2 linked regions of the Nothobranchius furzeri genome follow. The main gene of each other region encodes a partner of the protein of the gene in region 2 in a complex. Links are inferred from orthologs where the notes say so. Each region holds a gene or a part of one and is shown on either strand. Other genes may lie near its edges.

Evidence for each region. Proteins that work in one complex are often made in the same cells at the same time.
Region 1: the proteins of kl (region 2) and fgf23 are in contact, whole or in part, in a cryo-EM structure (PDB 7YSH), measured with the Homo sapiens proteins. The link is inferred for Nothobranchius furzeri from reciprocal best matches to the Homo sapiens genes KL and FGF23. Residues at the interface, in NP_004786.2 of Homo sapiens: Phe377, Lys385, Leu389, Glu390, Pro392, Trp417, Phe418, Ser420, Lys429, Tyr432, Tyr433, Lys436, Phe437, Arg468, Ser471, Ile472, Arg556, Arg693, Asn694, Met695, Thr696, Tyr697, Ile735, Val752, Phe755, Asp756, Asn782, Asn783, Leu785, Ile812; in NP_065689.1 of Homo sapiens: Leu39, Met74, Ala80, Val88, Arg91, Leu166, Ile167, Phe169, Asn170, Ile173, Arg175, His177, Asp184, Ser185, Glu186, Arg187, Asp188, Pro189, Leu190, Asn191, Val192, Leu193, Lys194, Pro195, Arg196, Ala197, Arg198, Met199, Thr200, Pro201.

Annotation. Positions count from the first base shown.
Region 1 is NC_091741.1:43,105,573-43,110,624, reverse strand, and holds fgf23 (fibroblast growth factor 23), read left to right. Parts: upstream 1-2,476; 5' UTR 2,477-2,640; coding exon 2,641-2,875; intron 2,876-2,955; coding exon 2,956-3,059; intron 3,060-3,476; coding exon 3,477-3,935; 3' UTR 3,936-4,055; downstream 4,056-5,052. UniProt on the Homo sapiens protein: Regulator of phosphate homeostasis. Inhibits renal tubular phosphate transport by reducing SLC34A1 levels. Up-regulates EGR1 expression in the presence of KL. Acts directly on the parathyroid to decrease PTH secretion. Regulator of vitamin-D metabolism.
Region 2 is NC_091750.1:61,952,483-61,958,062, reverse strand, and holds the start of kl (klotho), read left to right. Parts: upstream 1-2,224; 5' UTR 2,225-2,965; coding exon 2,966-3,682; intron 3,683-4,405; coding exon 4,406-4,836; intron 4,837-4,902; coding exon 4,903-4,982; intron 4,983-5,076; coding exon 5,077-5,239; intron 5,240-5,580. Other genes in the region: pds5b (sister chromatid cohesion protein PDS5 homolog B), read left to right, coding at 1,334-1,366. UniProt on the Homo sapiens protein: May have weak glycosidase activity towards glucuronylated steroids. However, it lacks essential active site Glu residues at positions 239 and 872, suggesting it may be inactive as a glycosidase in vivo.

The DNA.
Region 1 (5,052 bases), on a different chromosome or scaffold from region 2:
GCTCCACTAGCCATCTCTGCCTCCCTGCATCCCCAACCTTCACCCCCACAACTCATCCTCTGCAGGCAGGAACCTTTTTGGATTCCAGCTGTAACCTGCAATCTTCCTCCTCCTATTTCAGCCGTTTTTAGTTCAAGGTCAGAGTCATTGATCAGCCTTTGCCTCAACCTCTGTGGCCACAGGGTGGTCTGCAGTTTGAAAAAGGAATTTAAAACATCTTTTTGATTAATTTTAGCTGCTTTAGATGCTTACTTCTATGAATTTCAAACACCACCAGCTACAAATGCAGCACATGTAATTTGCTCCTTTTAAGAAGTGCTGGATTTGGGATATTTCTAAGGAGGAGACTTCTGCAGAGTTCACGCGGTGAACGATGAGCTGAGCCACGCAGATCTGAACCTCACCTCTGCCGCTGCAGGCCTCCCCTGTGATACCAGCGTCAGTCCTGACCCCACAACCCCACATGCTGACGCTATCACACGCTGCTCGCCTTGTCTCCGTTTATGCAAGCACAACGGCTACGCAGCGATGCCAAATCTTAAAAGCAAACAAAAGCTGCTGTTGAGGCTGCATGTAAAAGCACTAATGTACATTTTTAACTATGAGTTACATGAAAATGCTCTTTATTTTGAAAGCTGTATACTGTGTGGAAGTAAACATCGTGAATGCACGCTAATGAGGACTTCATTTGCTCATGTCCAGAGGCGTGTCCAGGGAGTGGCCTGGGGTAGCACATACCACCCTTGGAATCTGATTGGCCACCCCAGGTGCCACCACATTAATTTACCTTTAGTTAGGCTTTTCATTGTCCACAAAAGGCTTGGGGGTAAAACAAGAAAAGCATAACCATTGGTGCCACCCATGCACAAAGTTGTGCCTCACCTGGGCCACCCCATTTTAAAAGATCTGGACACGCCACTGCTCATGTCACCTCTCCAAGATGTCTGGTTTTGCACCTTATTTAGGACGTCTTGATTATATATTTGATTCTCCTTTCCACAGCTTATCCTAGGTCAGATTTCAATAAGTCAAGGTGAGGAATAACTTCTTTGATGTTTGAATGTATATCAGCATGCCTGAGTCCAGAGCTTGACTAGGGTGTGTGTTCTTCATGTGTTATTTTTACTTTTTGGACTGAGCCTCCACTCTATTCCTCTCCTCTGTTCTCATATACCTCACCTTCTGCCTTAGTTTTGGTTTGCTAATCTCTGTAAAATGAGACGAAACAAATTTTAGTTACATGTTTCTGATAACAGACGATGCTAAGTAAAGTTTTGTTCCTTTTATTTTTGTACGTATGTGCTGTGCACAGCAGTCTACTGTATATTCCTGAAATACCAAATAATAAAAGTTTGTTTTTCTTTTTTTAACTGGCTGCTGGGAGTTTGTTGTTTCTGTGGTTTAACTGGATTTGCTGACCTTGAACTGAAAGATGTGAGTCACTCATTTAATAAATACATTTGTAGTGGTCTCTAGGAATTAATCCAAGTTGTACTCTGGGGAGGAAAAACTGACCGTTGCACCATTTCCAGGAACTTGTAAACGATAACGACCTGCACTTGTACTGCTTCGTTCAGAGTCAAAGGTAGAGAGGTGGTAGTGATCCACGGGTGAGTCCATGAATGTTGAGTGACAGTGTGATGCAGATCTGGCAGTTTCACATCTCTTTTCTATCAGAAACTGATGCAGGAGATAGGTGTAGGAGACTATTTTCATGTTCAGCCTGCATGAAAAACTCAGAGTGACCCATTATAATCAGAAATAATCATTAAAAATTGGTTTTTAGTGTTCCACATTTTTAAATCATGAAAAATTAAAACATTTCAAACACAAAATATTAGTTTAAATTTTTAAAACAACAAAGACCCCAAAATACATGCCAAACATAAAATTTACAACAAAATAATTTTTAAATCAAGTCCTGTCCCTAATTTACAAAACAAATGTAAGGTTAATTAACAGATTAAAAAATCTTTCTGACTTATTCCATGAATTATAACTTGTCACCATAATAATTTCCTGCATGAATGAACCGTTTATAAGAGGGGAACAGACTAAACGCAGTTAGGTTTCCAGTGTGGCAGCTTTCTGTAAAAGATGCGTCTGTTTGCTTTCCTCCCAACAAGGAAGTGTCGCCATCTGCTGGGTAAAAAGTGGAAACGTGGATGAGTGCAGGTGTGCAGAAAAAGCAGAGCTGGCATAAACAACTATTTTAACTCTTTAATTATAGAGCTGTCACTCTTGGTTGGGGAAATAATCCGCGATGTGATGAAAAGCCTTTAGAGGTTTTTTTTTTCCTTTTGAAATATTACACAATGCAGCTTCCTGCACTCCGAACTAAAACCTGAAGCGGTGGTTTAATAAGAAACGGTGGATGAGTCAAGAAGAGAACCCAAAAATAAAAGTCTTGATTTTTAACCAAGATCATGAAATAAACAGAGAGGTGGAAGTGGTCCTTCCGCTGCTGAAACCCGCACCTCTGCTTTGGGGGCGAGTTTCTTTTTCTTTTCTTTTTTTCCGCGCAAAGGATGTGCGCAGGAGTGGCGCTCAGATGGGCTTTAAATAGGTACTGTCACCAAACTGTGGCACAACAGAGCATCCGAGCGCTTCCAGCAGTCCAAACCAGCGGTTTGATCCAGGATGGACGTCAACAAGCGACTGGGGATGAGAGACACGATGCTGACGCTCTTACTCGCTGTCCTGCAGGGACTTCCTGTCGGGGAAGCGGCACCGAATCCGTCTCCGTTAGTTGGATCCAACTGGGGGAACCCGAGGAGATACGTTCACCTGCAGACCTCCACAGAACTCAACAACTTCTACCTGGAGATCAGATTAGACGGGTCTGTGGGCAAAACTACAGCCAGATCTGCATTCAGTAAGTTGATATTTGGATGAAAATAATGTAGGTTTATAGACCAAGGTCAGGCTGCTAAAAGTGTTTTTTTTCTCTCGCAGGTGTAATTCTAATGAAAGCTGAAACAAGGGAGCACGTGGCCATCTTCGGTGTCAAAAGCAACCGTTACCTGTGTATGGATCAGGAGGGGATTCTGTTCAGCTCGGTAGGTGTTTCAAAGTTATTTTCAAATTTCCAGCCTAAAACCTTATTCTGAGTTTGTTTATCGGTCCTATGTGCTTTTACGCATCTGGCTGTGCTACTTTTACGCATGCGCACCGCAGTTTATTTTCTAAATAACACTTAATTTCTTTAGTTTGCTGCTTATTCATCTTTAAAATACTTCAGTTGAAAGCTCGCATGTAATTTTAGTCGATTTATCAAACCACGAGTTTGTTTCTGGTGTCATTGTGGAGTTTTACGCACAACTTTTACGCACAGGATTCCTTTATTTAAAACGTCGGTTGGATTTATTGGCATCTGAAAATTGAATAAAAATAAATTCAAGGCATTTTTTCCGCCTAAATAAAAGTCAGCAAACATCGATCAGCTGGGGTTTGATGGCTTTCTTTTCCTCTTTTAGCCCATCTGCCAGAGGGACTCCTGTCTGTTCTACCACAGGCTTCTGGAGAACAACCGGGACGTCTACTATTCTACTCTAACCGGGATCCTGTTAAACCTGGAGGGCTCCCGGCAGCTTTACTCTGCGGGTCAGAACCTGCCGCAGACCTCCCTCTTTCTGCCCAAGAAGAACACGGTGCCGCTGCAGCGCCTTTTGCTGCACAGAGACAAGAGGACTCGGGTTGCGGACCCAACAGACCCACACAACGTCTTGATTTGGCAGCCTGAGGACGAGTTGGACTCCAGGGCGGCACAGGAGGACGACATCGACCTGGATGTGGAGGTAGAGTTGGAGACGGAAACAGAAGTCGGGGATGATGGAAGAAACGTTTCCCGGGAGACGCCGCTGGCTCCACACGACCCCTGGAACGTGAACTTATCCAGGCAAGGCGGCGCTCGGAGCACCGGGACCACGGTCTGATCTCGGCACCATGGATGATTTTAGAGTTAATGTGCTCTGCCTGAGTCCAATTTAACAGTTTAGTCCAAACATCCATCTGAAAAGCTGAATATATATATATTTTTTTTTTTGGGTAAAATCGGTGGTTTGTATTGACTTGTAACCTTTTTTGCACATTTTCTTCTGTCTTAAATCTAAAAAGCAACTAAATACGTTCTCTTCCATCATCAGACCTTAAAGAGAGTAATCAATTTTAGAAAAGCTTCTGCATCTTTGGCATCTGAGCATTCATCCAAAATGCTGGAATATCAAACAGGATGGAAATTATTCCTCTCTTTCTCGGTTGGTCTGACAAACCCACAATGATGTTTCCAAGACAGAAGCCTGATTTTTCCTACCTCTGGAGAACTGAGCGGCCTGCTGTCAAACCAGACAGGCATCACTAAAAATAAATATATAATTAAAGTAGAGTAGAAATGACTAGAGTTATAGTTTAAATGTCTTTGTTATACAATCTTAAGTATATTTTAAGAGTTGAACATACTCTCAAATCATCATTATGACTTATTTGCAGTTTGATCTGATAAATGACTTGAAAGAAAATGACTACAGGGTAAATAAATTCTACAGAATATCAAATGTAAACTCTTGTTGTGTGATCAGGTACCGGAAAACAGAGAGAAAGCAGTCTAAAAGAATATTTATTTATTTAAATACATTCCTTTATTGTTATTTATGGTATTTATAATAATGCTTACAGTTACACAGAAACACGAGTTTACTTTGAATGTATGAGCTGGAGCGAGTTTTGCTTGAATGTGCTTTAAATAAAGAAATCCGATTATCATAGGAGCCATTTTTGGAGTCTGTGTGATGTTGTATGTTAATAAAAAAGCTCCTTCATCAATGTGAGATCTTGGTTAACAATTAATGCAATGGATGAATGGATTAATGGATGAAAATAAATCTTATGGCATTGCAGAAGCTTAATCTGCTTAATAGCGTAATCAACGCTAACGGTGGTCCAACAAAGTATGAGCGTGACTTTTTTAGGTGGTGACTTTTCTTTTGGCTAGGCAGTGCATCAGTTACCAGGAAATGAGAAAGGACTCTTGTAAATGTAGAACTAAAACTGCAC
Region 2 (5,580 bases):
CTGCAACCATTCGTCGACGTTGTCGACAAATATCGACAATAGAAATGGGAATTTCATTGTCGACGTTGTCGCCAGACGTGTTTTTTCCGACCGAGTGAGGCATCTCACTTCATTACAATCTCTGCCGAGAGTCGCACATGCGCAATAGTTTCTCTGCTGAGCGCCAACTAACAGAAAGTGTGGCATCCAACACAGCAGCTACGCGTACCAAAACATCTGGGGAGCATTCTATTCTGGATTTGGCAAATAAAAAGATGACCTGCATTATTTGCGTATCACGGCAGCACCTCGCTGACGCTTGAACACTTAAAGAGAAAGCACGTCAGACAGTTGAATGAAACCGAGTCTGACTCACCGAGGTAAGATTTAAATAACACGAAAGCCAATACCTTTTGTTTTGGATGTACACTGTAAATTTTTTTTAAACGTACTTTCGCTTTTAAAAAAGAGAGATTTAATGTTATGCCCGACTGTGCCTGACAAAAGTATTTTAATTTTATTTATGCATTTATGTCTGTACTGACTGGACACTGTGCCTAATTGGTGTTAGACAGGGCATTTTATCTACTGTTAGTATGAATTGGCCTATCTATCAGCAGCAACGTTCAATAAAATATACATTTTCCATTGAAGTACCCATCTTTCTTGTGTTTATTATCATTTTTCACACAATTAAAGCAATCTCATACTAAATTTGAAAAAATTTTCATAATTATCCGATTAGTCGACTAATCGTTTCAGTAGTCGGTGACTAGTAAACTATTAAAATAGTCGTTAGTTGCAGCCCTAGTGTGTTCCATTATTTCCGTCTGAATGCCCTGAATGGCTGCACTCGGCTTCATATTCTCACTCATCAGAGCAGGAAACATTTATAGAAGTAAGGGTTGCTGCTGTAAAACAGATTTTTTTGTGTCGTTTATGATTAAAACAATTTGTAAGATCTATCCTTAACTTAACTTTTTTATTTTTCTATTCGCTACTGCCTAGTCGGTGTAATAAAAACTCAGGTAGAACCCGGAGGACAAACAAGGAAATGGTGTCAGGCGGACACGAAGGGAACAGGAAGGTAGACACCGGGGTGGAGGAGAACATCCGGTACTTTCTCAATAAAAGACGACGCGCTAGTTAGATTTGTGTTCATCGAAAAAGAACATTCTGGACAATATTTGTCATTTTACTGGATTGTTGCAATAACAAATATGTTTTCTTATAGAATCGGTGTATTTGTCTGCTCATACATGAAAAAGATCACGTTACCGTACTTTTATAATCTGTAATTAATTTGCGATTAATCGCAAGTAAAATGTCTTTTTTTTTTTTTATTGTCTTTCAGGGTCGTAAGAAGACAGCAGGACGCAGAAGATGAGCTTTGGAGTAAAATTTAAAAAACAAAACACAACGATTCTTCTGTCGTCAAGGAAACCGTTTCAGGAAAGGAAAAAAAACCCATGAACTTTGAACTTTTTAAACTTTTCATATGCCGATGTTCCCGCTGTTACACACTTGCATTTACCACATGCACACCACATCAGAGCGTCCGCATGGTCAGCTGTGGCTCGTCGCTTCGTGTTGCATTGTGATCATGTTCGCCACGTTAGGTAGAACTCATCTTAACATGAAAAACAAAAACAATATGGTTTGTAAATAGTCTCCTCTGTCTGTTTGTTGTTCTGTTGTTGTGTTTGATGCTGACTGGGGAGGTGCTGTAAAGCCTTTTGGGTTCTGCCGTTATTATTAAAAGCTAAAAAAAAAAAAAGACCGATCACCATCAACTTTTTCTGTGTTAATTGTGTCATTTTACCTTTTATTGGAATGATTTTGTTTACACCTCTGTATATTAAAACATTTCTTCTTCTTTTTTACCATTATTGAAAACTTTAAAAACAAACAAAAAAAAAGCAATTGTAGAGTTGCTTCTGGTTATGACTGTAGTGTGCATCTGATTTATTTGGTTAGATTTGTACTCACTGCTAGAGGAACGTCGTTTGTGTCACTGCTGGTTAATTTGGCTTCACATCCACCCAGTCAGACCCTCTGTTGTAACAATATAATTCTCTATAAAACCAGACCTGCTCGCTTCCTCTTTATTTGGTTTGAAACGTTTAGTTTTTCAGACTGAAAACAGACGTTCTAGTTCTTCAGATCCAACTGCGGCATCTGTCGGAGTCACGCGCTGTCCTCGGGCTGCCCAGCATCCCTTAATAATCCTCTTCCCGTGCTGTAAATGGGGCTGCTCCTGCTCCACGTCGCTTATGCACAAACGCTCCAGTGCGTCCGATGGAAAAACACTCCCGTGTTCTTCCCGTTTGTGATCCGTGACAGAGCCTGCAGGGCAAATTCGCTAAACGATGAGCAGAGCTGGACGTCTGAGGAGTGGTTTGATTATACACTTTAATAGCATAAACAACATATTTGAACACAGTTGGCTCCAAATATTCAAAAAGTCTAATTAGATGTAAATGACTATGGCCTCTCAGAGAAAGAACCACTTTTTTATTCTAAGACATACCCACCACCTCAGGTATTTATACTGATGCTGTGATAACCTGGGATGGGTTTGTGTTCCCTAGCAACCATCTGACTCATCACATTGTCTCTGATGAGATTAGGAATGTAGATTTAGTTATACATGTTTTGCAGATGGATTAAAGCTATGATCTGTTGATGGGTTCACATTAGAGGCTTTGGCACCTGCTCTCCAGGAGATTAGACTGAGATTAAAGGCTCAATATGAGCAGAATAGAATAAAATAAAGTGATCGTGCCTTATTTTGTCTTTGTGGGAGCCTTAACGTCTTGTGCCCTGAGCCCTTCCTGCGTCAGGTGCTTTGGTTAATGATTGACAGGTTCACAGCTGGCTGCTCGCGCGTCGCAGAGGTCTGGTTAGTCACCAAAAAGCCACCAAGCATGGTGGAGTGTGAGCCAGCTGAGGACCCGGACTTCCACGGCCAGTAAGAAAACCAACCATGAAGGGGTTTGTCGCTGTTCTCACATTTGTGGCCTTCGCTGCTGTTGGCGCAAAGCCCAATGCGGGTCTGAAGACGTGGAGCCGCTTCAGTAAACTTCCCTATCCGGGAGACAAGGCTTTTCTCTACGACACGTTCCCCGGGGACTTCATATGGGCCGTGGGCACAGCGGCGTACCAGGTGGAGGGCGCGTTTGAGAAGGACGGCAAAGGGCTCTCCATCTGGGACACTTTTACGCGCGGAGGGAACCGCATGGCCACCGGGGACGTGGGCAGCGACAGCTACCACAACATCCACGCGGACATCCGGGCCATCCGCCAGCTCGGGGTGACCCACTACAGGTTCTCCTTGTCCTGGTCCAGGATATTTCCGAACGGGACGCGCGGGAGTTATAACGACATCGGCACCAGCTACTACCGGACGCTCATCAGGAGGCTGAAGGAGGTCCGAGTCCAGCCGGTGGTCACGCTTCATCACTGGGACCTGCCCGAGCAGCTGCAGCAGACCCTGGGCGGCTGGAGCAACCCAGAGATCGTGGGGATATTTGAGGATTACGCAGATTTTTGCTTCCATGCGTTTGGGAATGATGTGAAGTTCTGGATCACCATAGATAACCCGTTTGTGGTGGCGCAGTATGGCTACGGAACCGGGGTGGTCGCTCCTGGGATCAAGAACGACCCTGATCTCCCTCTCCGAGTGGGACATAACTTACTTAAGGTGGGTATTGATTTAAAAAATGTGCTGTTTTTTTATTAGTCACAAAAAGTATCTGTTCAAAAATCTAATTTTTTATTCAATTTTCCTTCCATTTAGTATCTTGAAAATAAATTACAAAAAAAAATGTTTATTACTATGATTTTTTTCCCATTAAAATAGTAAAAAGCACTAAAATATGGCCAGGGGCGGTTCTACATTTACATTACAGGGGGGCCCGACTGCTTTGTTGGAGAGGTACATCTGTATGAAAAAAAATAATAATAAAAAAATGTGCCTTTAAGTATTTCAAAAATGTGTGTGTAATTCCAACAACATAATAATTCATGGTTGCTTTAGATACAACAGCTTTTCAATACCTTTCCAAATTTAACTATTTTGCAAAACTACATTAACGTCTTGGTAATCTGCATCAGAAAAAACATCAAAGTGTTTATCTTAACATCTCTTTTCAACTAACCCCAACCCCCATATAATTGCATTCACATGCTTTTTCTCCCCACATCTCATATTAGGCTACATTAACACAAAAAAATCTGCACTTATTCAGCAGGGAGGCCACTGGGGCTCCAATCTTTTCTGTCATTTTCATGCTTTTTTTTCCAAGTAAAAATAACCATTCAGATTTTACAGTGTAATTTATTATGCACACAGAACTTTTTTTTTAACTTTTTGACCTGCATGTAAAAGTTTATTCTTTATGTATCTCTCTTGTCTCTGCTGCAGGCCCATGCAGCTGCATGGCACCTCTACAACCGCCGCTATCGGCCTCGGCAGCACGGGAAGGTCTCCATGGCTCTGGCCTCCCACTGGATCAAGCCCAGCCGTACTCGCCTGGAAAGCCTGCGGGAGTGCCAGTGTTCCCTGGACCATGTCCTGGGCTGGTTTGCACAGCCGCTGTTTGTAGATGGAGACTATCCAGCCTGCATGAAGGAGAGGCTGGGTTCACGGCTCCCCTCCTTTACCCAGGAGGAGAGGGAGCAGGTCAGAGGAACAGCTGATTTCTTCGCCCTCTCCCATGGAGCTACCCTGAGCTTCCAACTCATCAACGACAGCCTGAAGTTTGGGCAGCTGGAAGATCTGGACCTGAGGATGCTGCTCTACTGGGTCAACGAAGAGTATGACAAGCCACCCATCTTTGTGATGCAAAGCGGTTGGTAGGTTAGCACACGGACATATCCGTTTTAGTTTGGGTTTGTGTTGAACTTGCGTTTGTTTTCCAGGTATGTCCTCGGTAACACCAAAACGGAAGATCCGAAACAAATGTACTACCTCAAGAGGTTCATTGCAGAGACACTTAAATGTGGGTCCATCGGATTCCACCAAACTCATCGAACTGTCTCGTCAGACGTCTCTGAGGTCAAACTAAAGCCTGTGTGAATGTGTTTGTCGTCCAGCGATCGTCGTTGATGGAGTGAATGTGATTGGATACACAGCCTGGTCCCTGATGGACGGCTTTGAGTGGCACAGAGAGTACGGCATCCGACGTGGACTTTACTACGTCGACTTCAACACTCCTGACATGAAGAGGGAGCCAAAAACGTCCGCCACCTTTTACAGGTACATGTGAGGGCCAACACGTTTTGGTGTCCAAGCAGAAATCCTGAGGTTTCTCTCAGATGGCACCACCCAGAGCATCTCCCTGTTTCTGTAATACTGCTGGAAACGATGCCTCTCATTCGTGAACACACATAGTTACTGTTCTCATGTTATGCTGTTTATTACTTCATAATTTAAAGACTTACTTGTCTATAAAGAAGTTCACCAACTCTGCATCTATTCAACATCCGAGTTGAACGCAGAGACCCTTCTGTTGTTGAAAAGCAGGTCCAAGGTAAATGCTTCACTGCATCTGTACGTAAGCCGATGTCTAATTCTACTGGCTAATGCTAAGCAGCGGT